2 linked regions of the Danio rerio genome follow. The protein of the gene in region 2 interacts with the protein of the main gene of each other region in a biochemical or structural test. Links are inferred from orthologs where the notes say so. Each region holds a gene or a part of one and is shown on either strand. Other genes may lie near its edges.

The links.
Region 1: of the proteins of dtl (region 2) and chek1, one has a biochemical effect on the other in vitro, tested with the Homo sapiens proteins (2 studies listed by BioGRID). The link is inferred for Danio rerio from reciprocal best matches to the Homo sapiens genes DTL and CHEK1.

The regions. Positions count from the first base shown.
Region 1 is NC_133196.1:24,021,440-24,024,047, reverse strand, and holds part of chek1 (serine/threonine-protein kinase Chk1), read right to left. Parts: intron 1,517-2,608; coding exon 1,328-1,516; intron 1,201-1,327; coding exon 1,096-1,200; intron 950-1,095; coding exon 854-949; intron 763-853; coding exon 690-762; intron 208-689; coding exon 42-207; intron 1-41. UniProt on the Homo sapiens protein: Serine/threonine-protein kinase which is required for checkpoint-mediated cell cycle arrest and activation of DNA repair in response to the presence of DNA damage or unreplicated DNA.
Region 2 is NC_133195.1:14,398,287-14,402,124, reverse strand, and holds part of dtl (denticleless protein homolog), read right to left. Parts: intron 1,360-3,838; coding exon 1,256-1,359; intron 982-1,255; coding exon 877-981; intron 506-876; coding exon 393-505; intron 161-392; coding exon 71-160; intron 1-70. UniProt on the Homo sapiens protein: Substrate-specific adapter of a DCX (DDB1-CUL4-X-box) E3 ubiquitin-protein ligase complex required for cell cycle control, DNA damage response and translesion DNA synthesis.

The sequences.
Region 1 (2,608 bases), on a different chromosome or scaffold from region 2:
AAATACTGTATAATTATTATTAACTGTATTGAAATTGTTACCTGGCTTGCACCCGGTGTGCCAAGCAGTTGTGTGCCCAGCAGCATGTGGTCAGGACAGGTCGGTTGTGAAAAGCTGACACTGACATCGGTGTGAACTGTAACCTCCTTCTCCTCCCATAATCCCTGTGGCTCAGGCTGAGAGCTTGAGATCTGCGCTCGGTCATCACTGAGGAAACACACAGGTAGTGATTATGTGCCCCTTATAGCAGAAAATAGCTCATGAGTTTTGCTCAATACTAAACAGTCATTAAGGCAACATACAGTGCATCCGGAAAGTATTTATAGTGCTTTAATTTTTCATGTTACAGCCTTATTCCAAAATGGATTAAATTCATGTATTTCTTTAAAATTCTACACACAATATCCCATAATGACAATGTGAAAAAGATTTTTTGAAATTGTTGCAAATTTATTAAAAATAAAAAAGCTGAAAAACCCTGTTCATAAGTATTCACAGCCTTTGCTTAATACTTTGTTGATGCACTTTTGGCAGCAATTACAGCCTCATGTCTTTTTGAATATGATGCCACAAGTTTGGCACACCTGTCCTTATCTATTTTGGAAAAAGACTGTAACATAAAAAAATTTGGAAAAAGTAAAGCGCTGTGAATTCTTTCTGGATGCACTGTATGTATTTATCATACTGACCTGTTTTTTCGTCTTAGCTCAGAGTCAGCCCGTTGAATCTTGGCTGCTGGTGTGATGCCCTGACGTTGTACTGCTGTGGTCAAAAATTCAGACGCAAAACAGTCACAAACACAAACACTCTTAAAGCACTTGCAGAGCTACTGAGCTGATGTTTGAAACAGTACCTGATTTGAAACTTCTGCTAAACCAGCGGTGTTTCTTAATTTCAGGAATGGTGAACCTGTCTTCTGGATTGTGCAGTAATATCTTAGACAACAGACCTGATCAAAAACAAACAAAACTTCTTAACATCAGAGGTGTTCTGAATGTTTGTATGCAGTAGTTTTGAGTGGCTGCCTTCCGGCCAAAGTGAAATCTATAATAAATATTTAAATATTGTCAAATTTAGCAAGTCGAAGATACTTACTAAGGGGTACCGCATCAATTTTCTTCCAGGGCGTAAGGTAGGTCTTTCTTTCCAGCCAGTCCAAATACTCCTGACAGTTTTCACTCGGCTGATCCCAGGGTAACTCTGTTGAGAAATTCAACACAATACGATGCAATAAAATGTTAAAGATACAATCTTGGGCCTTTTTTAAACTTCTGGTTATAATATTTTCATAAAAAAATAAATAAATATAAAATCAATAGAGTCTTACCTCCAGCTAACATTGCAGTGAGCACAATGCCACAAGCCCAAGTGTCCGCAGGCTGAGCGTTAAAAGATGAGCGTGACATCAACTCTGGGGCAACATAGGGCAGAGTACCACACAGACGGTTCAAAGCTCGCTCACGGCCACGGTGCCTGAACATGGTAGCCAGGCCAAAGTCAGAGATCTTCAGATTATCTGACAGAAAATACACAAAATGTATATATCAAAATTATATTTTGGTTTCCAAAGGTTTCATCAAGTCTAATTTAAGACTTTTTAAGACCATTATGAATAAAATTTCTGACTTGCACAAGGTTAAACGCTAAGGATTTTTTCTAATGGCCCAGTTAAAGCTTAAAAAAAACTGTAAAAACAAATGTTATATTAATAGGTATGGTAAATAGAGTTAATAAACTTTTGCTAGAACTTTTAATGAGATAGTGATGAAATGTTGGTAATTGCCTGGGTGTTGGTCCAATTGGGTAGCTTTACATGAACATAGGAAAGTTAAAACAAGTTTAAAATTATTTAAGACCCACAACACAATATTTCAGTGAATTTAAGACTTTTTAGGACTTTGAAATTGAAGAAATGCCTGTATACAGTCTACATATACAAGCCTGTATATTGTTAAACTAATAATTTATAGTGCACATCTTAGTAATGCTCGCTACACTTGATACTTAGAATCAATTGTTAAAATTAGTTTACTATGTAAACATGAACTAATACTGAAAACTTAAGCATTTATTCGTCTTAATTAAATGTTCTTTTCAACAATTACCAATACATTATTTTGTCTTTTAATGTTTTTTAACGCACCTGAGATAACAAGAATGAATATCTCATAAGTAAAGATAAAAAATACAGCGAAGAAAGTATTTGATTTTAAATGGACTATATAATTGGACTTTATTGTAGTGTTAGCAAAATATTTTATATGCATAATGTCCATCCACTACAACACAGATGTTTATTCTTGTAGATGTCACAGACCCCAAAATATGATCATGCCATAGACTACTGTGTAAAACAATATTTGAAAAATATTAAGTTTATGTTAGTTTAGTCTGTATTGATCTACTACTATAGTAATGTGCCCAGTTTAATTTGAGTACATTTTTAATTTTACTGGACTGTTTATTTTGCTTATTAATTTATTTGACAATCCAAACAGACCCCCAGCTCTCCAAAGCAGACTATATTGCAATTTCATATCAGCACATCGATAATAAAATGCTTTTCTGTGTGTGTTTGTGTCATGGATATTGCTGCTGAATTTATCTG
Region 2 (3,838 bases):
ATAAGCCTTTAGAGGCTGTGCACAATTCTTAACCAGTATTTATTTGTTTGCCGCAATTACAGATACTAGCCTTGGTGAAATCGGTAGGACACCAGGCCACGGATGTGACCTCTTGGCTGTGGCCCTGAAGCATCATGGGAGCTTGTTTTGGATCTGAAATCTGGATCAAAAGTAAACAAAATCATGTGTCACCGTTGCTACATAACTTCTGATCTTCTACTTTTACATCTAGATCTGGGGCTGTATGTTACTGGAGGGATGGGGAGCTTACTTTGTAACAAAATCAAATGAATCATTTGAATAGCTCTTCTTGAAAATGTATATATATATTTTTGAGAAATATATTTGAGAATGAGGGAATTTTGCGGGTGAGTGCATGGAGAACTCCTGACCTTCCATATGTAAACGTTATGATCACTGGATCCACTAGCCAGGAACTGGTCATCTGGACTCACAGTGGACTTCACGTAAAATGAGGAGTTACTGTGACCACTGAACACAGCGACTGTGAAAAAGAGAATTAGTTCAGAAACATGCTTCACCTACATAATTCAATTATTTTGGGGATTTTTTATACCAACGAAACAATAGAAGTAAAAAAAAAAAAAAAAAAAACAGTCTTAAGTGCATAATAAATTAAAGTTATCATATTTTGAAAAAAGAAATCAATTCCGACCTGCTGAAATTAGTGCTTTTATATTGTACTCTTTAGACTTTGAGAAATTCTATGTTTGCTCACACATCATTAAAACAACTATGATATCATCATAACACTATCCCACACTCCAGATAAAAACTGATTAGTTAAAAAAATAAAAAATAACAATTTACACTTAAAAACAAACAAACTGAACACTTATTACAATTCATATGTACCTGGAGTGGTTTTCAGCCCACTGATATTAAACATGTAGATATTGTCATCTGTGCAGTTAGAGAAGAGTCTAGATCCAGTGTAGTCCAGTGAAAGACCAGAATAACCTGCAGAAGAAAAACAGGATCATGAAAAGGAAAATTAGCAATAATACTACAGAGAGAGATTATTGCCATCTCAGCTTCTCTGGCTATGTCATAGCAAAAAATAGATACAATTTATGACATTTTATAGAAATCACTTTTCTATAATAAAAAAACAATAAAAAGATAAGAGTTCCAATAAATAAAAAAAAATATTAATTAAATAAATAAAACAATATAAGATTTTTATTTGATAATATGAATTCTCATTAGTAACAGTGGGCTATGAGATGTGTACCTAGTTTGCGCGTGCAGGACCCTGGGTAAGGATAGGCCTGTAGAGGCAGGGGGTTCTGGTGGTATGCAGTATAGTTCCTCCGCAAATCCCACATTTTAATGATCCTAAGACAAGGTCAGAATGTTATTACCCATTTTCAAGAGCGGTACAGTTTAGCACAATACAGGATGCATTTCTACAGCTAGACTAACACACAGATCATAACACCTTTTGGTACCCTTTCGTAAAAAGGGAAAAAAAGGACCATCTTAACTTCTGTATCATGATGACTTTAATATAATGACAGAGTGAAACAATGAACTATGGCCAACTCAAACATAGCTTGTGCCATTTTTATAAAAAAAAGTAGTCACATGCCAATAATTTATAAGACAAGCAATTAGATTGTGATTTATATACAGCTATGGTAAGAAATAAGAGACCACCTGGAAATACTCAGTTTATGTGAAACTACCAGATTTGTTATGCAAGGTTTTGCATTAAATCAAATCACTTTTATTGTCACATCATCAGCAGCACGTGTGCTATGATGAGTGAAAAGGTGCTGGCCCCAGACAGTACACAATACAGTGCAAATTCAACGATAGTGCAATTAACAGACAGTGCAAAAAAAAATTACAGTGCAAAAGACAGACAGTGCAAATACACAAAAGTGCTAAATTCAACAGCATGCTCCTCAAAAAAAAAAAAAAAAATTAATAAATTAATTTGTTATACCGATATGTACAATGAATAGGTGTTCACATAGTTGTATTCAGTATTGTTTCAAGTATGGATTAGTTAAAGTGCAGTGCAAACTACATATTGATGGTGTGCAGTAAGGGGTATGGAAAAGTCTGTGTGGGCTGTCTTAAGTGTTCATCAGCCTGAAAGAAGAAACTTTCCTTCAGCCGGCTAGTGCGTGACCGGATGCTGCGGAACCGTCTGCTTGAGGGTAGCAGAGAAAAAAAGTGTATGGCTTAGGTGGCTGGAGTCGCTGATAATTCTCTTGGCTTTCCTCATGCAACACCTGGTGAAGATGTCCTGGAGGAGGGAAGCTCGCCTCCTACTACGCGTCCAGCAGTTCGCACAATCCTATGTAGGGCTTTGCGATTGCTGCTGGTGCTATTTCCATACCAGGTGGTGATACAGCCAGACAGGATGCTCTCCCCGTGCAGGTGTAGAACGAGCGGAGGATGTGGGGGCTCATTCCAAACCTCCTGAACCACCTGAGGAAGAAGAGGCGTTGTTGTGCCTTCCTCAGAATAGCGTCTGTTTGAGCAGTCCATGTCAAATCCTCAGCGATGTGTACTCCGAGAAACTTGAAAGGGCTGACTATCTCCACTGGTTTCCCGTTGATGGTGATGGGGGGGGTGTTCTCTCTTCTCTCTCCTGAAATCCACCACCAGCTTCTAGGTTTTGCTGATGTTGAGTGAGTTTTCCTAACACCACTGTGTCAGAGTGTGCACCTCCTCTCTGTAGTTTGTCACATTATCGGTGATTAGGACCACCGTTGTGTCATTAGCACATTTAACGATGACGTTGGAGCTGTGTTTGGCTGTACAGTCATGTGTGTAAAGGGAGTATAGGAGTGGGCTGAGAACACAGCCTTGTGGAGCACCAGTGTTGAAGATTAAGGTGGATGATGTAATGTTGTTCATTCTAGCGTCTGCTTGACAGGAAGTCCAGGATCCAATTGCAAAGACAGCTGTGTAGACCTAGATCCTGGACCTTCACCACCAGATTGGCAGGTGTTGAATGGTGTTGAATGCTGAGCTGTAGTCCACAAACAGCATTCCACATATGTGTTTTTGTTTTCCAGGTAAGAAAGAGCAGTGTGCAAAGTGAAAGCAATTGCATCATCAGTTGAGAGATTATACCTGTATGCAAATTGCAGAGGGTCAGAGTGAGCAGGCAGTACAGAGCAGATGTGCTTTTTAATCAGCTTCTCAAAGCACTTGCTGAAGATGGGTGTCAAAGCAACTGGACGCCAGTCATTCAAGCTTGTTGTTTTTAGCTGATTTCGGTATGGGCACAACAGTAGCTGTCTTAAAGCATGGGGGAACCAAAGACCGAGAGAGCGAGAGATTTAAGATATCCGTGAAAACCCCCGCTAGCTGGTGTGTGCATGCTTTAAGTACACGTCCAGGGATGCCATCTGGGCCAAGAGCTTCCGGATGTTCACGCGACTGAAAGATCTCCTTATGTCCGCTACAGAAACAGAGAGTGTGCTGGCGATTTTGGTCGCAGGAGCGCGCGCTGACCTGGGCTTCAAAGTTGGTGTAGAACGAGTTGAGCTCGTCAGGGAAAGACGCAGCAATGTTTACAGTGGCGGGATTGTTACTTTTAAAGTACGTGATGCAATTAAGTCCCTGCCACATGCTCATTGCATTATTGGTGTTAAATTGACACTCTACCTTGTCTGTGTATTGACGTTTTGCTGCTTCGATGTTTTTCCTGAGGTTGTAATTTGCTTGTTTTTGTTCCTCAGCATTTCTGAATTTATAGGCGGATGTTCCCACTAATAGGGCTGTTTGAACTTAGCCACTGATCCATGGTTTTTGGTTGGGGTAGATACGGACAGTTTTTGTTGGGACCAAGTCT